4 linked regions of the Schizosaccharomyces pombe genome follow. The gene in region 1 interacts genetically with each later gene. Each region holds a gene or a part of one and is shown in the gene's direction. Other genes may lie near its edges.

The links.
Region 2: mutations in iqw1 (region 1) and SPOM_SPBPB10D8.02C together harm fitness less than expected from each alone (positive genetic interaction), as found in Schizosaccharomyces pombe (one large-scale study listed by BioGRID).
Region 3: mutations in iqw1 (region 1) and mug30 together harm fitness more than expected from each alone (negative genetic interaction), as found in Schizosaccharomyces pombe (one large-scale study listed by BioGRID).
Region 4: mutations in iqw1 (region 1) and mgr2 together harm fitness less than expected from each alone (positive genetic interaction), as found in Schizosaccharomyces pombe (one large-scale study listed by BioGRID).

The regions. Positions count from the first base shown.
Region 1 is NC_003423.3:3,160,652-3,166,911, forward strand, and holds iqw1 (WD repeat-containing protein), read left to right. Parts: upstream 1-2,488; 5' UTR 2,489-2,520; coding exon 2,521-2,581; intron 2,582-2,626; coding exon 2,627-2,720; intron 2,721-2,766; coding exon 2,767-3,451; intron 3,452-3,492; coding exon 3,493-4,991; intron 4,992-5,042; coding exon 5,043-5,133; 3' UTR 5,134-5,251; downstream 5,252-6,260. Other genes in the region: SPOM_SPBC609.01 (Dis3-like exonuclease family protein), read left to right, coding at 1-561; phosphatidylinositol-3,4,5-trisphosphate3-phosphatase Ptn1, read left to right, coding at 1,172-2,218; plasma membrane spermine family transmembrane transporter Caf5, read left to right, coding at 6,029-6,260. UniProt on the Schizosaccharomyces pombe protein: Ligand-dependent coactivator of nuclear receptors that may function as a substrate receptor for CUL4-DDB1 E3 ubiquitin-protein ligase complex.
Region 2 is NC_003423.3:81,983-87,909, reverse strand, and holds SPOM_SPBPB10D8.02C (arylsulfatase), read left to right. Parts: upstream 1-2,391; 5' UTR 2,392-2,478; coding exon 2,479-4,143; 3' UTR 4,144-4,681; downstream 4,682-5,927. Other genes in the region: SPOM_SPBPB10D8.01 (cysteine transporter), read right to left, coding at 4,957-5,927.
Region 3 is NC_003423.3:3,685,741-3,692,775, forward strand, and holds mug30 (ubiquitin-protein ligase E3), read left to right. Parts: upstream 1-2,798; coding exon 2,799-3,032; exon of another isoform or gene 3,033-3,076; coding exon 3,077-5,266; 3' UTR 5,267-5,460; coding exon of another isoform or gene 5,461-6,108; 3' UTR 6,109-6,109; downstream 6,110-7,035. Other genes in the region: cyclophilin family peptidyl-prolyl cis-trans isomerase Cyp4, read left to right, coding at 161-623, 717-859; SPOM_SPBP8B7.26 (uncharacterized protein), read left to right, coding at 1,384-1,468, 1,523-2,226; CLRC complex-Argonaute linker protein Stc1, read right to left, coding at 5,461-6,108; abz1 (para-aminobenzoate synthase), read left to right, coding at 6,823-7,035. UniProt on the Schizosaccharomyces pombe protein: Probable E3 ubiquitin-protein ligase. Has a role in meiosis.
Region 4 is NC_003423.3:1,568,441-1,572,607, reverse strand, and holds mgr2 (protein Mgr2), read left to right. Parts: upstream 1-1,688; 5' UTR 1,689-1,755; coding exon 1,756-1,789; exon of another isoform or gene 1,790-1,832; coding exon 1,833-2,161; 3' UTR 2,162-2,404; downstream 2,405-4,167. Other genes in the region: sua1 (sulfate adenylyltransferase), read left to right, coding at 1-1,123; SPOM_SPBC27.05 (uncharacterized protein), read right to left, coding at 2,536-2,862; septation protein Uds1, read right to left, coding at 3,047-4,167. UniProt on the Schizosaccharomyces pombe protein: Required for cell viability in cells lacking mitochondrial DNA.

The DNA.
Region 1 (6,260 bases):
TCTGGGCTCGTTAAGCATAAGGCTTTTGTTTTGGCTGTTGACCAGGAGTATATTGACATAGTCATATACGAATTTGGCTTGGAAAGAAGGATCTCCTTGGATCTGCTACCGCTTAGTAACTGCGACTTTAATGAGCAAAAACACGAACTCTATTTATCATGGAGGACAAATGCTTCTTTCTTTTATGCTTCATCTTCTTTGGAAATTGATACACCTTGTTTCAATGACTTTAAGAAAAAATTTTTGGATTCCAACGGGATGTGCAAACAAATATGCGATATGATGGATGCACAGGTTCGGGATTTAGCTAACGCTGCTGAGTCCCAGGAGTCTTTCTATTCAAAGGCTCGAGGCAATGACAGTACTAGTAAAACAGCTAAAAGTTCCTCTGGCAATCAGGATATTTCCGGAGATGGAAAACTTCATAGTTTACGTATGAAAGAGCCTGAGGTTGTTCAAACCATCCGTCCAGGCCAAGAGGTTAGTGTACTTATATTTGCTGATACTTCCGCTACTTACTCACTCTCGTTAATTACTTTACAAAGTCCTCTATCCAGTTAATCTTCAATAACTGGTGATCTTCGCTAATGTGTATGCCTCACGATTTATTTTTAATGTATGATTAATTGCATATGTCTAACGTTATATACTTCTACCACTTATTTCTTTTTACCTAAACGTTTTGGATTTATTTTAGAGGATTCGAATAATCGCATGGGTTTGTTTGTTTTTTGGTGGACTTAAATGTTTTTAAGGATTTTTATCAAAATATTTTAATGCTTATTTACGGTTCATGTCTTACGATTGTATTTCTTATTGGCTTTTTTTATTCATTTTTCTCATTTTTTTTTTTTTATTTCTTTATTATTTTTTTTTACTAGTAATACTTTTGCATCGTTTAAAGGGAAAAGTTATGCCCTTATGTTTTTTTCAATAAAATGGATTATCAAATCATTGCTATCAAAATATATAAATAATTAAAAGTAAATTAGTTATTTATTCACGTCACTATGGTTGATACCTACCCGCTTAAAGTTCATTACTAAAATCTTTATTGTATTTCTCTTATTTTCTTCTGAACAGTGCAGCTTACCTCATATTTCAACAGTCAACGGCATCTGCAGTATTATCCTAGTATATTACAAATAACTAATTAAACATGTAATTTTCCATGAATATACTTCGATCAGTAGTTTCGAGGGGTCGAAAAGGCCTCAAACAAGAAAAAGTGAATCGTAGCTTTGCTTACTTAGATATGGTTTATATTACTTCCAAGGTAATTGCTATGTCTACACCGGCTGCTGGAATACATAAGTTATATCGAAACGACGAATTGGATGTATTTAAATATCTTACAACGCAATTGAAAGACAACTGGATATTGTTGAATTTATGTGCCGAAGAAACAGTTTACCATTTGGAATTATTTAAACCAAATGTCATAAATTATGGATTTCAAGATCATAATCCACCTCCGCTTCTCTTTTTATGGGCTATTGTTATGAATATGGATGCACTCTTTCAAACGCAACCTTTGTTGACATTGGTAGTTCATTGTAAGGCCGGAAAAGGACGTACAGGAACTGTAATATGTAGCTACTTGGTAGCTTTCGGAGGCTTGACAGCCAAGCAAAGTCTTGAACTATATACTGAAAAAAGAATGGTTCGAGGGCACGGTCTTACCATTTCATCGCAAATACGTTACGTCTATTATATCGAAATTTTAAAACAGTTCCCGAATTATTTGAAAGCTGTGGAATTTAATACTGGTACCACTTTTTTTAAAAGTTTTAAATGTTTGAATATTAAAAAAAATTCATCTTTGATTCTATCATTGCATGCCTTCTCTAAGGGACGAAACATAAATCCAGTTGCTCTGTGGAAGAGTTCAGATATATCATCCCATAATGTAAGCATAAAAGAAGGAAAACGTATATGGGGGATACAATGCAACCTAGAAACATCGGAGAAAGACCTTTTGCTCAGAGTCGAACGCAAGGGCCAGTTTTACTTTCCTTCGAGTGTGCAATGTTGGTTTCATACTCACTTTCAACCTATGCTTGTGGAATACACAAACGGGATAAATTTTCAACAAGGTATAAATTCCTTTCTGCAAGGACAACAGTCAATTTCGTTCTCCTGGTCTGAAATGGATAATAGCCGACGAAGTGACCCCTTTTTCGAACAACTGACAATTGTATATGAAAATGTTTTTTGATATTTTGTAAATATTATATTAGTGTAAAATAAAATGATTATTTGTGCAATTAGATCCTCCTTTCGATCATCGAAATAAACTCACATGTTGAAGTGTTTCTACTTCAGTAAATTACAGAGGCGCTTCAAGTTTTTTTTTTAAATTTTAAAAAAAACATAGGAGTTTGAGTTTAAGGCTTATACTCTAAGATTCGAGTTTGCAGTTACGATTTATGGTATTAACTCATCGTGGCTACATTACCGACATCCACTTGAATTGAGCTTGTCTTCCACCAACGCTTGTTAATCGCTGAATTGACTCTCATGTCTGGGATATCACTATCCTTGCGTCAATTGGATTATAGAGATTGGTTTCAGCGAAAAAGTATGCTCTTGTTTTGTTTTTGAATGATGCTAACTAGTTTATTAGTCAGTCGAGATATCTACGGCAATTCGACTTGGTTGACCGGTATAGATTTGCAGAAAGAATTAACTGGTCATACGGGATGTGTTAATACACTAGAGTAAGTGTTTTATAACAATTTGTTCTACAATGCTTACAATTTTCAGCTGGTCCGCGGACGGTGAATTCTTGTTATCAGGAAGTGATGATACAAGACTAATTGTCTGGGATGTTTTCAATGAATACAAGCCACGGCATTTAATATCTACTGGCCATGTTCAAAATATCTTCAGTGCGAAATTTGTCCCATATTCTAATAACCGGCAAATATTGTCTGCTAGTGGTGATAAGCTTATTAAGTTGTTTGATTTAGATTCAAGTAAAGAAGGAGGAATGGATCACGGCATGGAGACTCAAACTAGATGTTGGAGTTGTGCTCTTGATTCTGTTAAAAACATCGTCCCTTGTGACAATGGTCATACTTTTCTAGTTTGCAGTGAAGATGGGACGGCTCGTCAATACGATATTCGTGAGCCACATGTCTGCAATCAAGATTTGGATTGTCCTTCTATACTGGTAAATTATAACCCATATCGCATCAATTTATACACTATAACCATGTCCCCTTCAAACCCTTATTATTTTGCAATTGGTGGTACTCATCCGTACGCGTTTCTATATGATCGCCGGATGGTTAAAAAATCTTTCCGGGATGATTGGACTATGAACACTTCTCCCGAAAAAGACTGCCGTTGTGTTCGTAAATTTAGTCCAGATGGCTCATGTAATTCCCAAGGTATCTTGGATCGTTATATCACTTGTTGTCAGTTTAGTGCTGCTAATCCTAATGAGGTAAGTCTTATTGCATGGGTGATCTCTAATGTTTGTTATAGTTGCTTGTCAGTTGGAACTCTGATTATGTATATTTATTCCATGTTCATGAAGATAAATCTTATACACCAACTTTTAATAAAATAGAGGATTCAAATAAAAAGCCGTCTAAGCCTTCGTTACTTCAAACACAGCCGCTGAAAAGGAAAAATTACTCGCCATGGTATAAGAATAACTTTGGTGCTTCTACTCCAGCTAGTAGAGTGTCAAGAAATCCGTATACAGCAGCCCAACCTCGAAAGCATACATTTTATCAGATGTATGAGAATATCGAAAAGTTTTTTACTACCGAAAATGGAGGACTGTATGAGAGCATTGTTAGCGGTCGTTTATCTCATTTTTCTCGCTCTATTCAGTACGTTAAAGACGCTATTTATTTCTTGGAAAATTATAATTATATTCCCGATTCAAACGGTTTGAATCATAGTATCCGCGTTAGTGCTTTACGTTATTGGAGAGCGTGTGTTTCTATTTTAGCGCTTATGGATGATACTGTGAGTTTGGAACCGAACACCATTATACAAGCTGGCTGGGGATGGTTGTATGATTTTATGAATTGGGTTACACGATATTTGTTAGGAATATCGGACCATTGGGCACTACAAATGTCTCCGCCTACGAACGTTGCTCGCCAAAACTTTGTTTTGTGTGATCCTGATGAACCATCTCGGGTTTTATTCTCAAATCCCTCTGAAATGATTAGGGCATTTGCTAGGATAGATACTAATGATTTATCTTCTGTAAGGCGGTTTTTTTGGATACATAAAGTTTTACGCGGTTGTCTTCTTCTTATATCCTCCGATATCTACTGGGAGCAATTTCAGCCTTGGGACAGCAGTACTTCTGACGTTACTTCCAGCCAAAGACTTGATGATGAAAACGGGTTCTTGACATTGTTGGAACCGCCAGTGAACTATGAAAATGAAGTTGAAAGTAGTTCGGGAGAAAATATTGTCAGTATGTATACTGGGCATTCTGATCTCAATGATGACGATGATGATTACCAGGATGAGGAAAGTTACTCCTATGCTAGTGATGATGATGATGAAAGTGATGAGGATTCGGATGAAGGTCCGACTTTGTTGTCTTTAAGAATGAAGAAGCGGAAAGCAGTGGAACCAAATGTGCCGGTGAACACACATGTTAAAAGTTATTATGGTCACTGCAACGTAGAGTCTATTAAAAATGTTAATTTCTATGGTCAAAATGATGAATATGTCATGAGTGGTTCTGACGATGGCAGGTTTTTTATTTGGGATAAGTTAAATGCTTCCATTCTTGCAATTATCCATGGCGATAGTGAAGCTGTTAACGTTATAGAAGGGCATCCCCGTTGTCCCACGCTTGCTGTGTCCGGTATTGATTCCACCGTGAAGATATTCAATACTGAGAACACTCCACCATCAGGTTGTTCAAGGAACCATACTTCCAATAGTTACAAAATAATTGCTACCAATGAAATGAATAGGCAGCAGGGGTCGCGAGATTCCTACATAACGAGGTTTGTTGAATACTTCTAATTTGCTCATGTAAATACTAACCGTTCTTCTAGTCGTATGTTGTCACATCTTGCATATCGTGCACATTTGGATGATGGGTTTGGACACGAAGTGCTCGATACCGATGCTTGTAGTATTATGTAACTGAGGAAGTTTTTTTTGAAGCTCACATTTTCTCTATTAAAACTATTTATGATTAATGATTAGACATTTTCAAGTAAACTTAATGTTGTGAAATAACTATATGATTTTACTTTTTGGGATAAAGTTGGGAATTTAAGCGAAGTAGTTAAAAGCAAGACAATTTCGGCATATTCATTTGGACAAATATTAAGTGCGTATGACTGCAGATGTTTAATAGTCATTTTTTATATAAGCTTTTCTTTAAAAGTAAAATATTAAATTTTAATTTTCTTGAAACATCGTCTTCAAAGGAAAACGGCAAGCATAGCAATCCCTCTTATTTTCTGTCTTCCGTCGATCGTCTACCTACTTAATCATAGTTTGAAGTTAAAATTGTTTTTAACGACATCATTTTTTTAAGTAACTGTTGTATTCGCATTACTCTGAAAAGAATTAATTCATACTTAGTTTTGATTAGTCATATAGTTCTGTTTTTACTTTTTAATTTCGCTTTCTTTTGCTGACAAAAATTAAGGCAGAATTTTTTACGCGAGATGACGATCGACTGATGTACGTTAGAAATGTTTGTTGTAACTTCCAATCTTAATTTTTTTTTTGTTTACATAAGCAACAAGATGATTTTGCACTTTTAATACTGCTTACTGAAACGACTTAGAATACGATGGATAATTGAAAGAAGGAATCTCACATAATTGACTAATCAATCAATATATGCTTACTTTACACTTAGTAAACATTCACGTTGATTAGGTAAGGCACGAAGGGTATATTAGGAGAAGAATGTAGCCAGACAATTGTACCAGCAAGTGTGGGCAAATAATCTGTCAAGTTTTTAATAAAGTTAACCGAGACCAAAAAATAGAACTAACTTTGGTTTTTACATACGGTCATTTAAATGGGATTTTTAAGGGAAACCGTTTTCGGCGAATTGGTCGAATACGTTTCTCACAACTCCAATGACAACGACTTAGAGAAACTGAGAGTATGGAAAGACATTAGCAAAGTAGATTCCAATGACTCATGCAGCTCGGAATCCGGCGATCTGAAGATTCATGAAGTTAATTCAGAGGGACACATTATTGTGCGATGGGATGATGCCAACGATCCCGAAAATCCCCTAAATTGGC
Region 2 (5,927 bases), 3.1 Mb from region 1:
AAATATTGTCATACCCTTATTGTAATCATTAGTATTCATTCCTAAATCATCCAACATGTTATCTGAAAGGGCTTGTTGAATATTGGCACGATCTAATTCTAGTGCAAAAAACATAATGAATGCCCATGAAATAATGAGCATATCTATTTTACGAACAACTTTTTGTTCCTGACCCATATCCATCTAAAAAAAGGATCGATGCGGTGTCTACTTTCATAGTAAGGACTAGGTTTGAAAGCAGCTAACGTATTAGGATCATCAAAAATGGATTTTTTTGTTGTAATGGAGTTTGGATCTAGCTTTCTCCGTTTCCAAAAAAATTTCGAAAATTCCTAGGGCTCTCCAAGTTCAAGCATATTGTCCTCATGAGCAGATTCATCATCACCTAATTTCTCAAATATAGATGCTTCATCCTTTTAATCAGTATCGTAGATAATACCATTTTGATATACTTCATGTTGCTCATCTGAGGACTCGCTTTCACTTTCAATAATGCGTTGTTGAACTAAGTTGTAATATTTCTGGTTTAATCAGCTAATGATCCACCGTATACGATTTTTCCAAGTACTATAGTTAAAAAAAGATGTCCGCTCAAATAAATATTTATATGCCTATACTAGTAGCACTTTACATGCCGCTACATTATATATAAAAGTGAACAGCCAATTAATTTTGCTTTTTAATCATTTCCAAGTCATTTAAAATTCCTTGCAATAATAAGCGTATATGGGAATGTAGTTAGCACAATTACTTGCTTCGGCTCAGACAACCTATTATTATAATACAGCTTATTTTATAATAATATTATTAGCTTTTTACCCATCGAACACAAATGAAAACATGCTAAGAAAAGGAATGTTTAAACAAAATTATTATAGTCATAATCTAGGATGCATTTACCGAGTAACAATGACAACTTAACACGTGTAAATTCTAATTTGTAATTAAAACGATTTGCTATTACTATTTAAATGTAAACCAAGTTTGAATACATCCGATATAATAATGAGTAAAAAGAAAATAGTGGGTGCTGCTCAATAAGTTTACACTTTAACATAATATCAGACCAAATCTGATAAATATGAATTTACGTAACTCTTTTGATATAATTTGAATTCACTTATAATTGCAATTGATAGTACCAAAAGTGCGTTGAAGGGAAATGATGTATGGATTGTTTGAGAATGTTACATCTTTTCTCGGATCCAACATTACGCAAAGATCCTTTCTGTACAACAACTTAATCCTTTAACTTTACAAGTTCCTACAATTGAAACAAGTTGTTTTTGTATATTGTGAATGTCTTAAGATGTTCTTTATCTGTATTTTTTAACAATTGGTCCACTATTTTTGAACTTAGGAAGTCTAATTATTGGACGGCCCTTAGTTACGGAAACAATTTACCAAGAAAAAAATCTTCAGATATATAGCATTAAGCTTTATTATGATACATCTCGATACTTTTATACTCTTCATATCTTCATATATATTACGTCCACTAATCGAGATTATTAAATTCCAATTGTAATAATTAAGTATTATTTTAATTTCAAACGAAAAGAGAATCCGAGGTCAGTTGTAAATTAATTATTACCACTTAGTATGAAAATATTCGTGTCTGATATTTCATATCAATAAGACAATACAAAGGACCAAAACGTAATTTTAATCGCAGTTTACCCCCATTAAATTGTATGAAATTCGTATCACTCAACAAATCTAGGTATAAATATGATTTTTCTCAGTTATTGTCAAAAGCAAAATGTTATTATATCTAATTTATCTCATAGAAAATATGTTGAATCTTCCACTGACATTTCTCGTTGAAAGTTCAAAATAACGAAAATCGACGTCCTTGTTAATTATCATTTGGTATCTTTTAGAAAATTAATGTTTTCTTATATGTATAAAGCTTCAAAATCTATTTAGGTTCCTTTGTAGTATATTACCGAAACCGATTTTTTCTAGAGTAAAGCATTTATTGATATAAAGATCAATTAATATAATTTGGCGAGTGTTTAAATATTTTCACATATTTTCCTTTGGGATTGATAACTCAATTAATATTTCCTTGATAAATAAAAAAAAAAAGTCAATTCCTGGTCAGTAAACTCAGTTTTGCACATATTGAGTGAGTGACAGTAATTAGTTTTAAACTTGATTTACTGAATCTTATCTCTAAAATATTCAGATAAGTAAATTACAGTTTGATCCAGTAAATTGGAATGTATGAGTATCTTTTTTAATATGGATGATGTTACTCAAAGCTTACGTGATAGCACGCCATACTTCTTCATTAGGTATTTGTAATTTTGCAATCTATTACGGAAGACAATTGTTGCAAATATATTTTTTCATATTTTAATCAACTTGTGGGCTGTCTCTTGTCTCACATGCCCTTTATGAACATAAAATAAAAATTACAGTTTGAGCTGCATAAAAATTTATTCGCAATCAAAAAAAATTTGAATAGTAACTATGGCTTTTAATAAACAAGCTGAATCTAAAAAACCAAACTTTTTGGTCATCGTAGCTGACGATCTTGGATGGTCAGATGTTTCTCCGTTTGGAAGTGAAATACACACTCCAAATATTGAGAGGCTTGCAAAGGAAGGTGTACGGTTGACAAACTTTCATACAGCCTCTGCTTGCTCGCCTACTCGATCTATGTTATTAAGCGGTACAGACAATCACATAGCAGGTTTAGGGCAAATGGCAGAGACAGTACGCAGGTTTTCGAAAGTATGGGGTGGAAAGCCTGGGTACGAAGGCTACCTAAATGATAGAGTTGCTGCATTACCAGAGATTCTACAGGAAGCGGGTTACTATACCACAATGTCTGGAAAGTGGCACCTTGGACTAACCCCAGATCGTTACCCTTCAAAGCGAGGATTTAAAGAATCTTTTGCACTTTTACCTGGAGGTGGTAATCATTTTGCATATGAACCTGGTACTAGAGAAAACCCTGCTGTACCTTTTTTACCACCATTGTATACCCACAATCATGATCCTGTTGATCACAAAAGCTTAAAAAATTTTTATTCGTCCAATTACTTTGCAGAAAAATTAATTGATCAGTTAAAAAATCGTGAAAAATCCCAGTCATTTTTTGCTTACCTCCCATTTACAGCACCTCATTGGCCGTTGCAATCACCAAAAGAATATATTAATAAATATCGTGGACGATATAGTGAAGGCCCCGATGTGTTACGAAAAAATCGCTTGCAAGCCCAAAAGGATTTGGGACTTATACCAGAAAATGTAATTCCAGCACCTGTAGATGGAATGGGAACCAAGTCATGGGACGAACTAACAACAGAAGAGAAAGAATTTTCTGCGCGAACGATGGAAGTTTATGCTGCAATGGTCGAATTATTAGATTTGAATATTGGTCGTGTTATTGACTACTTGAAAACTATTGGAGAACTTGACAACACATTTGTTATATTTATGTCAGACAACGGTGCAGAAGGGTCAGTTTTGGAAGCAATCCCGGTATTAAGCACAAAACCACCGGTTAAGTATTTTGACAATTCACTGGAAAACTTGGGTAATTATAATTCATTTATTTGGTACGGACCAAGATGGGCACAGGCTGCGACCGCTCCTTCTCGACTTAGCAAGGGTTTTATTACAGAAGGTGGTATTCGATGTCCTGCTATAATTCGCTATCCTCCATTGATCAAGCCAGACATCATCTCCGATGAGTTTGTTACGGTTATGGATATCCTGCCAACCATCCTTGAGTTAGCAGAAGTCCCTCACCCAGGGCACAAATTTCAAGGACGAGATGTTGTAATCCCCCGTGGGAAACCTTGGATTGACCATTTTGTGCATGGAAAACCCGTACACAAAGATACTGACTTTAGCGGCTGGGAACTTTTCGGGCAAAGAGCTATCAGAAAAGGAAATTATAAGGCAATATATGTACCTAAAGAAGGAATAAAAACAGAATGGGAGCTGTATGATCTTTCCCAGGACAAAGGTGAGCTTGAAAATCTAGCGAAAGTCCATCCAGATATTCTAAACGAACTCATCGAGTATTGGTTGGTCTACGAAGCTGAAACTGGAGTAGTAACAGCCCCAGACGATTTTGTTGCCGAAAACGTCGGTTTGTTCAAACCAGCTAAGCACAATCTTTAATGATTATTCATGATATTGAATTTTACAATAATTTTTTACTGTTAATGAAACACCACATAGCAGTTTATTAATGGTAAAAAACTTATTGCAAATATGGAACTCGGGTTCAGCTAATTGTTTAATTTAATGGGCTATTTCCAGTCTTTTACTTATTAAACACCACAGTTTAAAGATTATAAAATCTAATAATAGCTGATTTCATCTATCAACGTATATATGCTAAGTTACCAATTGATTCAATGTTTTTTAAATATGATAATCTACAGCGAAAATTATCAGATGGAATGCAAAGCCGAGCTGAAAAATTTAACTGGTTTGGATTTCCCCTACGTATTAGGCTTTATAATTGATATAAAAATACTTTTTTAGAACATCTCTTTTTCAATCGCAACTTTGCAGCAAAGTAAACTATGAGAAACCATTGGGGATAAAAATCGACCTCCATTTTATTTAGCAATGAATGCTAGTTCTTCTTTTCAATCTATGTAAATAGTAACTGAATAAAGCTTTCAGCAATATATACAAACAAAATTTCAAACTATTCTTCGCTAAAGACGAAGATTACTATTAAAGGTTAGGAATCCTAAAGGAAACAAAAAAACAAGTAAATAAAGCAACTGTCTTGTAGTAGTCTAAAATAAGTTAAGAGTTTACGGGCAAGTAGTTTAAAAATACAAAATTTTGCAAAAAAAAAAGCAAATAGTAGAAGGATTTTTCATGACTGTTGGGAATTTGAAATTATTTTGTAAACATTTCTCATGAATACTTCAAAAAGTTATTTTTTAAGATTTATTCCTTCGTTTAAATGGATAATTATAAGGGATAAATAAACGATAGGTTCTCCTGGTCTGTCAAATCAAGCATAGAATTTTCGTAAAAACCGGAAACGTGATTTCCAGAAGAATCAATCGTCTCAATCCAAGTCTTTTCATACTGTTCTTTATTCTGCTCAAGAAGAGCAAGGCGCTTTTTGTTCCTTCGAACAAGAATCCAGCGAATGATCAGCAATACAAAGGGAGAAACAGACCAAGCAATTACTATTTGAACAATCCAAGCAGGATAATATCTCGGGGCATCACGACTCTGCCACATTTGTGGGCCAATGATGTTGGCAATGGCATATCCAATCATAAACATAACACCACGAGTAAGCTTCTTTGTGTATCCAGCACAAGAGGCTGTTGTCCATCCAAGAGAAATAATAAAAGGGATACCAAAATTGCTTGCTATAATAATAGCTGCTAACTCCCCAATTTTATGATCCCATGACATGGCTACGCACGCAATTCCTCCGGCAATACTTGGGATATACCATATAGCTCCGTGAAAGGCACTTTGGTTTTTTATCACACTCATCATATAAGTTGCTATAATTGCGCTAACGCAATTATATCCGGCACTAGCGACGCCCACCAAGGTAGAATTCAAATCAGAAACATTCAAGCTTGTAAAAAGTAAATTTTGTTGGTAAGCTAAATTGTTGGAAAGTTGATTGCAAAAAACATGAAAAGTAAATAACCATGTCACTGGATCCTTTAACGCCTCGATTACTTGATACTTCTTGAAAGTCTTCGACTCAATACCGCTATGATTACTTCTACGTACACGGTCAACTGTGTATAATCTCTCTTTCTTGGTCAAGAATCTAGCAGTAGAAGTATTATCTGGGTAATAAAAAAAGAGTCCAATAGTTAAAAAAAATGTGATTCCTCCGACGATTATCATAAAGAGCTTCCAAGGAGATATGGTGTTTTTTGCATATTGGACTCCATAGGCTATAAACC
Region 3 (7,035 bases), 530 kb from region 1:
TTTGATGTAAACAAATAAGCGCTTCTTGAATTATTTGCTTAACATTGTGCTAAAAGTTGCTACAGCAACCAAAATCTAGCGAGTCTTGCTATTAAACCCCACCATAACTATTTATTTATCCTTTACCACACAACGAAGCTTTTAGTTTGTGAAAACAAAAATGAAGTTGTTCTATTTCTCTTTACTTTTTACTCTTTTCTTTGGGCTTATCTCTGCCAACCGTGGCCCCAAAGTTACAGACACAGTGTATTTCGACTTGCAACAAGGTGATGAGTTCCTTGGAAGAGTTACCATTGGATTGTTTGGTAAAACTGTTCCCAAAACAGCCGAAAATTTCCGCGCATTAGCCACCGGAGAAAAGGGATTTGGATATGAAGGATCTATTTTCCATCGCGTTATTCCCAATTTCATGATTCAAGGTGGTGATATTACGAAGGGTGATGGTACTGGTGGAAAATCAATTTATGGCAGCCGTTTTCCTGATGAAAACTTTAAGCTTTCTCACCAACGTCCCGGTTTGCTTAGCATGGCTAACGCTGGACCCGATTCCAATGGATCTCAGTTTTTCATTACTACAGTTAAAACACCTTGGTTAGATGGACACCATGTTGTTTTTGGTGAAGGTAAGAATTCATATTGTAGTTGTATATGTTTTATAAAAGTGACTATTTGTTTTCTTTTTCCTTTTTTTTGTTTGCTAATACTAATTTTATCAGTCCTTTCTGGTTACGATATTGTCAAGAAAATTTCCAAAGCTGAGACTGACAACCGTGATAAGCCTCTTGAAGATGTAAAAATTATCAAATCTGGGCAGTTGTCTCAAGAAAATGTTGAAGATGACGGAACAGATGAATTGTAATCCCTACTTTCTATTTATGAAAGTCATCAACATCTAGTGTTTATAAGATTTACTTGAAAAGCAATGATTTTACATTCTGTTAACATAAACGTTTATCATTGGAAGGATCACTTCTTGTGGTAGTTTGTTTGCATTTTCTGACAGCCATAGTTGTATAACTAATATACGCATAAAGAATGCGATTTTAACAAGTTTTCAATTGAATGAATATAGAACTCTACGTATATTATCCAATTTAGCAAGCGTAATAGCAATGCTGCAATTCTGATAGTAAGTATTGACAACAAACGCGAAGCTTATTAGCTGCTTACTATTTTGTTATGTTTTATCAAAAAGAACTCAAAGACATTATTTTTTCCTATCAGCTGGCTGATATTACTAGCACGTTGTGTAGTTGTTTACCCTATGGGCTCTTAGAAAAGCGGACTTAAGGAATTTCGAGAGTCGGAAGCTGTCCACCGCAAACATTTGGGTAAAATCGGTTTTTGCGTCAATTGTGAGAAATCAATTTCAAACTAATCGTAATGTTTGACTCAACAAAAAAATCACTGCATTCGATGTCGGATTCTGCGAACCGCTTCCAGAATAAGATTACATCGAAATTACCAGGTAAGCATATTTCCTTTGCTTTTTGAGACATTACTAACAAAATGGGATTTATAGGTGAACATGGCGAAGATGCTATGTATGATATTAGATCCGTTCATGGAACCGGGCCTCGTTTATCAATAAAATATGTCGATGTTACAAAATTGCCTCCTCCTCCAAAACATGCTTCACAGTTGCGTGCCGGTGGTAGTAGTACTGGAAGTACACCTAGAACGGCTAGCCCGGCTGTAGGAAATCAAGATTATTCGAAACCCTCTTATTCGCAGCCTTCTTATTCCCAACCTTCACAGCCCCCCAAGGAACCCGCTCTTCCTTCAAGAGGGACTCCTTCACTTCCTAGTCGACCAGGGAGTCGTCCGTCCGTCTTAAATCAAGAACAAGTCCCACCACCTCCTGTTCGTCCTAATGTAATGTCTCAGATGCCCCCACCTCCCTCCTACAGCTCTTCTGGTTCTTATTCCCAAACTTATCAGTCAAACGCTAATTATACTGCCTCTTCTCCTCTCCCTACAGCTTCTGCAAATGCACCCTTGCCGGTTCCTCCTCCCCGAAGGGTTTCTCAAAACAGTTCATATGCATCTGGATCTGTTCCCGCGGCGACTGCTGCTTCTACAGCGTCGCCTGTTAAGAAACCACCTCCACCTGCACCTCCAAAGCCAAGAAGACTTGCTGCCCGAACTTCTAGTAATTCGTCCGGTGTAAGCTCGCCAACTTCTGTTCCACCTCCGGTTCAAAGGAATACTCGACCCAACCTATAAACCAAATTTTTGCTTTCTATTTTCTTTCTCTTACTACACCATTATTACCTAGGATGGCCTATTTAGCATACTAGATGTTATTCAATGTTTAAATCATAATCTTCTTAAATCAACTTTCCTACGAATAGTCGTACATACTAGGTAATTTGACAATTTAAAATGAAAGGTATCATCAATGTAGGAACGTTCAAAAATCTTAAATAAGGTACTGCGAAGTCGACATGGTAATTTTCTTTGTAAATGTCATAATATTTACTTCTGCATTTAATGACATACATATTATACAAGAAGAGTAAAGAACTTATCTGTTTTAACAGTATTCACCTTCAAAGATCTTAGAAAATTGGTTCAACTGTGATGATCTTTTGACGAAAGAATGTTAGAATGACTACGCCATGAGAACCTGTTGAATATCGTAATATTTAAGAAATAACTATACCAATATATGTATAGTGTAGTATGGCCTAGATATGTACCATACTTTTACAGATTTGTCTTTTTGTTTTGGGTTAGTCCCAATTGTTTATCTGTAGAGCGAAATATAGATCTTTCTTAGAAGGTGAATTGCTTATATGAGTCGCCCTATTGAAATAGCCAATGTGTCTTCTGGAAACCGTAGAACGCTCCCAGCACTTCATGGCTCTAGTTTTTCTAGCCGCTCAGAACTTGACAATAATACAAATTCAAAAATATCACGTCGCTTAAGAGAGTTAGTTTGTCAACGTATGGGTGAAAATCCACTTCGACTTCGACAGTCGTTTCATGAGACAATTTCTAATGATAGTTACGGGAATTCAGAGAAATTGGTATTTAGGCTAATTGTTTGGCTAATTTATTAACAAAATTATAGGTGATCAGGCCCTGCATTTGTTGTAATAGCGTCCTGCGCTACCCTGCACAAGCTATGTGCTTTCGTTGTTCATTATGTATGACTGTGAACGATGTTTATTTTTGTTTAAGTGGCTCCCAAATAAAGACAAAAGCTTCAACCGATGGATCACAATTTATCTCAGTTGAACATTTTGTTGAAACAATTCATCAAACACGAAGTGCCTTGCAACTTGCTAAGCAGCGAACTGGCAACGTTCAAGCTATTGTGGCTGCAGGCTTACCATTACGAGAACTTATATCCTTAGTATTTGGAAGTCCACCGATATTGAATAAACTGTTCTCGGTTAAAAATGGTTGTTCAATCCAATCTTCCGGACTAAATTATAAGCTCATTTACCAATTGTACCATGATATTACAAATTTAGACATTTTAATAACAAATGAGTTGTTAAGAGCTATCGAGAGTTTACTTCGGAGACCCATGCTATATTGTCATGATCCAGCGGATTATCAATATCTTCTCATTCTTTTGGAAAATCCTTTGTTGAACTCAAAATCAAAGAATATAGTGAACAAGAGTAGCAGCATTTTGAAGAGGATTTTGGGAGTTTTATCTAACTTGAACGAGAAGACACATCATTTTTTTATTTCTTGTTTTAAAAAACAACCTTACAACAATCCTAAGTTTTTTCGAAGAAAAGTCGATCTCATAAACAAGTTTATTGGTCAACGATTAATGGAAACTTACAGTAGAAACAAAAGGAAGCACTACTATAATAATGACTGGCAAATTAAGTCAGCAGCTATTACTATGGCCTTATTATACTCTGCTAATTCGCAAATGAGACTGATAGACAGATCTTCATTTTACTGCATAATGGCTGATTTCATAAATCTTTATCACGACTTTGAGTTATGGGAGCAAAAAATCAATTGCTTTTGTTTTTGCCAGTATCCTTTTCTTCTTTCAATGGGTGCTAAAATTAGTATTCTTCAGCTTGATGCTCGGAGAAAAATGGAGATTAAAGCAAGAGAAGCATTTTTCTCTTCAATTCTTTCCAAAATGAACGTTGAACCTTATTTGATGATTCGTGTTCGGCGAGATCGACTGTTAGAAGACAGCCTAAGGCAAATTAATGACAGAAATAAAGATTTTAGAAAGGCATTAAAAGTTGAGTTTTTAGGTGAAGAAGGAATCGATGCAGGAGGATTAAAGAGAGAATGGTTGCTGCTTTTAACGAGGAAAGTTTTTAGCCCTGAGTTTGGATTATTTGTGAACTGTGAAGAGTCTTCAAATTATCTATGGTTTAATTATTCACACAGGTCGAAAGAAATTGATTACTATCATATGTCAGGTATATTGATGGGAATTGCAATCCACAATTCAATAAATTTGGATGTACAGATGCCCAGAGCTTTCTATAAAAAACTTTTACAGTTACCTCTAAGTTTCAATGACTTGGATGATTTTCAGCCTAGTCTATATCGAGGATTAAAAGAGCTTTTACTATTTGAAGGAGATGTAAAAAATACTTACGGTCTTAATTTTACAATTAATCTCAAAGCTGTCGAGGGCTTTCGCACTGTTGAGTTGAAAGAAGGAGGCTCTGAATTGAGTGTTGATAATGAGAACAGAAAAGAATATGTTTTGAGGTATGTAGATTATCTCTTAAATACTACTGTAAAAAAACAATTTTCTGCTTTTTTCGATGGCTTTATGAAAGTATGTGGAGGTAACGCCATATCGTTGTTTCAAGACAATGAAATCAGCAAGTTGATCAGAGGAAGTGAAGAAGTTATTGACTGGGAGCTACTCAAAAATGTCTGCGTTTATGATTTTTATGACCAAAATGCGATTTCAAATTCTATATCTGAAAGTGAACCAAGTATGACTGCATCTAAATATCTCTGCCACTCTTTCGTATCAAAAAGAAAAATAATACTTTGGTTTTGGGATTTGATATCACACTATTCGCTAAAAATGCAAAAACTTTTTCTCATTTTCGTCACAGGAAGCGATCGCATTCCCGCTACTGGGGCACATAATTTTCAATTAAGAATCTCAGTTCTCGGACCTGACAGTGATCAACTTCCTATCTCTCATACTTGCTTCAATCACTTATGTATTTGGGAATACTCCAGTAGGGAAAAGTTAAAAAAAAAATTAGACACGGCGTTGCTTGAAACTAATGGGTTCAATATACGCTAGTGTTTACATCAGGGTTCGCAATTCCTTACCTTTTACTACTATATACATATATCTATTTATTTAAGATCTAAATTAAATTCAACATATTTTAAGGTCTACATTAGCACTAATGGACCTTTATAATTTATCATATAAAATGGGATCGTAAGCAAATCTTTACATAATTCAAATAAGGATGAATATAAAACGTGTCTCTATACAATTTGTTTTTCTTTTTTGAATTGCTGAAATATCTCTTCCATCCTGTCTTCATCAGAGTCATCATCATCATATTCTTCAGCTGAATTGCTTTCCTGTTGCCCCTTGCTTTCAGTTCGCTCTTCGTCAGTATTATCAGAAACATCGTCAGCGTATTCTGAGTTTATGGTTTGTTTATCATGAATGTAGATATCATCGTCTAAGTCAGAATCATCACCTATGAAAGGATCAACGAACTTATCAGATTCCAAATTATCATCACCGTCGTTCCTTTGTGAATGTACACATATCTGACATCGTGGATCCAGGACATGTCTTTGTGCCTTAGAGAATTCATTAATGCCCTTAGTTTGTTGACAAGCGGTACACCAAATTGAATCATGCTGTTTGGGCTGGCAGGTACGACATATCACTTTTGGGTCTGAAACGCTAACCGTTCTCCCACGAACAAATGTAAACGTTTTGCTCCATTGAGTTTTGCTGTAAGAGTCTATCCCTTTAACCTTTCTGCATCTCATACACATAATTAAACAATCATTATCATTTTTCCCTTTTGAATTCAATGTACCCCGGTATTTTTTAGCATGTAGTTTGCAATCCTTCGGATGCTTTTTAATTTTATATTTTCGACTCTTAAAATCCATATTTTTTTATTATTATTAATATGGTAACAATACTCTTATAAATGAATATATGTACTGAAATAATTTTAATTAGCTGCTGACGTTAGAAGCATTAAGTAGACAATACCTTTAATGAACAAAATGTGATAGCCTTGACAACCAAATAGAAGAAACATACAGGCTTAATCAGGATTTAGAAAAAAAAAACAGTAATACAAGCCGTCCTATCAATTGTCATTGAGATCTTTACGCTGATCAGGCTGTAAATGCATTAATATAAAATTTACTACCGTTCGGTTCGATTAATAGGTGAATCAATGATATTAAAGCAAAAAAGAATACATATATTTGTTGATTGCTTCATGTTCTATTGACAATGAAAATTGCACATATTCAAAGGGTTGTTTTCAAAATAAATACTGCTTCCCATTCTATTATTCTCGCCTTCAAGTTTTTGATTGCGAATTATTCTTTGAAAATAAACGGAATAATAAAACTTTAGATAGCCTACACTTTTCCTACCTTAAATGGAATTGTATGATTTGTAAAATCCCGAAGAATGTCAGAAGCTTCTAAACAAATTGGAAACTGGAATTTAATTTGCGCACTTCCTACTCCTGCTACTTTGTAAAAGTTAAAACCTCTTAATACCAGAGTTCTCTTTTCAATCATATCGTTAAAAAATTAATGTTTCTTGAGTAAATCTAAGGTCGTTTTAGCTGATTAGTATCTATCATGAGTGAAATTTCAAACCGTTTACAAATTTTATTAATTGATTGCTATGACTCATACACTTTTAACCTTTATGACTTACTTTACAAAGCAAGTGAAAATGCCTGTGTTATTGTTGTTCATTGGGATAAAATGAGTCCTGATTTATGGGAAGACATACTTCAATTTGATGCCATTGTCGTAGGACCGGGCCCTGGACATCCTGCCGAATATTCT
Region 4 (4,167 bases), 1.6 Mb from region 1:
GTATACCCCAGATAAGGCGAACGAAGCTGAAAAGGTATTTGGTGCTAATGATCGCGCCCACCCTGCCGTCGACTACTTGTTTGGTCGTGCTGGAAATGTGTATGTTGGTGGTAAACTTCAAGCCGTTACTCCTATTCGCCATTTCGATTTCGTAGAGTACCGCTACTCACCTGCTCAACTTCGCTCTGACTTCCAGCGTAACAACTGGAATCGCGTCGTTGCTTTCCAAACCCGTAATCCCATGCATCGCGCCCATCGTGAGCTTACCGTCCGTGCTGCTAAGCAACACGGTGCCCGTGTGCTCATTCACCCTGTCGTCGGTATGACCAAGCCTGGTGATATCGATCACTTCACCCGTGTGCGTGTTTACGAGGCTATTCTCCAACGCTATCCTAAGGGTTCCGCCAAGCTCTCTCTTCTTCCCTTAGCCATGCGTATGGCTGGTCCTCGTGAAGCTTTATGGCACGCCATCATTCGTAAGAACTACGGTGCTTCTCATTTCATCATTGGTCGTGATCATGCTGGTCCTGGTAAGAACAGTCAAGGCGAGGATTTTTATGGTCCTTACGATGCTCAGTACCTTGTTGAACAATACGCTCAGGAAATCGGTATCACCATTGTTCCTTTCCAAATGATGACTTACCTTCCTGATGAGGACATCTACAAGCCAGTTGACAAAGTCGAACCCGGTACCCGTACTTTGAACATCAGTGGTACTGAACTTCGTCGCCGTCTTCGCGTCGGTGCCAACATCCCTGAGTGGTTCTCTTATCCAGAGGTTGTCGCTATTTTACGTCAATCCTATCCTCCCAAATACTCTCAAGGATTTGTTTTGGCTGTTCCTGCCACCTCCGATAAACTTCTCCCCAGCGCTCTAGTTTCAGCCTTGAACGAGGATGGTCGCCGCCATGTCACTCTTTTACCTCGCTTAGATGCTATTTCAGTGTTTTACGCCCAAGAATTGCAACGTGCTGGTGCTGCCGTTGTTGTTTCTCTGGCTGATGCTGATGCATCTGTTAAAGTACCTGCTGAGTGGACTACCGTAAACATCAAGCCCAAAGACTCTGTTTCTGAGGTTACTTTTGCTGTCCTTTCACAATTGTCTGACGAAGGCTATCTTTAAAATAATGTTTTTTGACATATATATATATATATATATATACATATATCCATTTTTGTTCTTTTATGTTCTACTTGTCTATTAAATAATAAAATAATTGCTGCAGGAATGACAACACTCCCTCATTAGAACTTTGCCATTTGTAGATGTAACTAAGAATGCAACTCAATTAAATTTCGCTAAGGACATGTTAGTAATTAATTAGCGATAGGCTTCTTAATAACAAAAGGTAGGAAATTCAATCCGAAGCCGAGGGGAATTAATTTATTATATATGTCAGATATACATAGCAGACTTTAGCAATTGCAATACATGCCAATGCAATGTTTTATTTTAATTCAGAAGTCATTATAACGTTAAGCCTATGCTCTCACTTAACGCATGCCTGGATGTAATACATTGTTACATTTACTTAAAAAAACTGGGCTTATAAAAAATATATATATAGGTTTTCTTTAAATTAACATTTCCTAAACTAAACTATTGATTTAACAAAAGAAATTGTTACATCTATTGTTATACCTAGGTATCCAATATAATAACTGTATACTACCTTACTTTTCCTACCAACAAAATCCCCCTTGAAACTAGTGCTCTCTATTTCTAAATAAAAGTAAGACCTTTAACTACTCAAAATGCAATCTATGCAACCTTCAACTGTGGATAAGCGTAAGTTCTATATTGTATGAATTCAGTCATTAACACTGAACAGTAAAAATGGGCGCCATTATGGGTTCAGCTGCTGGACTTGGCATCGGGTTTTTATTTGGAGGAGTAGCAGTTTTGCGCTATGGGCCTGGTCCACGTGGATTCTTAAGGACCTTAGGTCAATACATGTTAACATCTGCGGCCACTTTTGGCTTTTTCATGTCCATCGGCTCTGTAATTCGCAACGAAGATATACCACTAATACAGCAGTCAGGCTCACATTGGAATCAAAGATTATTAAATGAAAATGCAAATTCCAGTCGTATTTTTGCCTTGGCTATGCAACAGGCCAAAAGTTCTCCACGTAAATCAAATGAAGTTGCTGAGTGCTAATTTCGTTTAATCCGATTATAATAAAAGTATCATACTATCATTTTGTTAGTATATGAGGTACAATATTTGTTTCTCCTGAATTCTGAGTTAAAGATGTACTGATGATTGTACTATCATGCATTTAAACTAAAAAGCTTTGGCCGCTACATCAAAGGACTTTTGCATTTTTCTGATAGTTCATGTTTAAAAAAGTCTTTATACCATATTGTTAATATTTTGATGGCGATTTAATTTTCCTTAAAATTTTTACGATTTAAAGATTTGGGTAATTTGCTAGGTGGTAAATTGGTAAATTAGTTTGTTTCGATGAATAATATTTGTAGCAATAGTTACAAAAAATGATCGAAGACAAGCTATTACAAATAAGCTAATTATTATTTGATCATAAAGATATTTAGAAACAATACTTGTGCCTTAAAACTTGCAATATCAATAATGCTTGTCATAAGGAAGATTCGGTTACATATGGGTTGAAGATACATATGCTCATTAGTATTATTAAATGTATTATATATGCTTGATGTTATCACTTCTTTAGATGCTAATTGTAATGTAAATGCGTCTGTTGTCTCTTTTTGTACACGCATTATTAGTTGGTATCTTATATAAAACTTCGATTCAATCTCCAACTGGTAAAGCAAAATGCAATTAATGCCAGAATAAAATAAATATGCAAGTCCATAAACCGTTGTATGCACCATTCATAAGCAGAATTTACTGCGTTCATAAAGTTGCGAAAGCATAGTCTTCAAAATCTTTCGTTTGCTTCTTAGCCAAAATTCAAAAAAAAACTTGAAAGCACCTGCAAAAAGGTCCAAGAAGGAAAAAAGTTTATAATCGGAACATCTTCCTTATACAGCTGCAAATTTAGAAGATCGTATTTGGTTATGCTGCAGAAGTAGATACTCTCCTCATACTACTTTCAAAACTGTGTAAAGTCCTTAAAGAGCCGAATTTTTCCTTTTTCGGCAAAAACGCTTCACAGTCGTTTCTCATTGAATCCATGCTTATCCTAGACTTATTCCCCAGACTTACTGAATCGGTTGAAACATTGTCATCAAAATGCAAGGAATCGTCTTCTGTATGAATAACTTGTACGATTTCGCTTGAATTCTCAGTAGTGATATTATCATTTTCAGTACTGTTCATACATGAACATTGTTCAGGGTCCTGGACTTCAATATCGTTGGCCGGAATCTCAATTGTTTCCTCTAAAGTAGTTAAATTTTCATCCTCTTTTACTTCCTTGATGTCTTCCAGCTCATCCTTCTCGATATCATCTTGACGAGTTTCTTCAACTTCATCTTGTAAGATGGAGTTTTCTGCTTGCACTTCATCATCTACAGCGTTCGTCTCGGTCATAGAGATGTCCTGAGATATATCGATGTTTTCTTCAGCTTCATCGATTAGCTCAGTAACCTTGTCAGGCTTCTCAACGAACCCAATTGCAGTCTGATTAATACCTTCGCATGCATTGACCATATCAAGGGAGGAATTTTTGTCGTTCATTTGTCCTTCATATACTTTGTTTTCACAGTCATCAGTTGTAGTAGATTGTTCCACCACGACAGATTCTAGAACATCATTCTGGTTGTTGTTTGCTTCATCAACGGCTTCTTTTCCAAGATCATTTTCTTCACTGCCTTTGTCAATATTATCAGAATGCTCTACCTCAACAGGTATGGTTAAAGTATTTTCAATCTCGTCATTCACATCAGTAGACTGGGTCATTTCAACTGTACTGAGGATGCCGCCAATAAGAGATTTGTCATCTTTCTCAGACGGCTGATAATCCTTTTCAGCTTCTTCTACATTGCTGTTTTCATTGATCGGTTGTTCTAACTTCACGGGTTCTGAGGTTATGACTTCTTCATCAGTTGTATCAGGGACAACGACGTCAGCACCCGTTTGAACAGGAAGGCTACAGTCAACTGGAAAGTTTTCTGAATTTATAGTTAATTCAGCTTGCGCTGGTTTCTCGCTACCGTCAAGTAGGACATCACTGC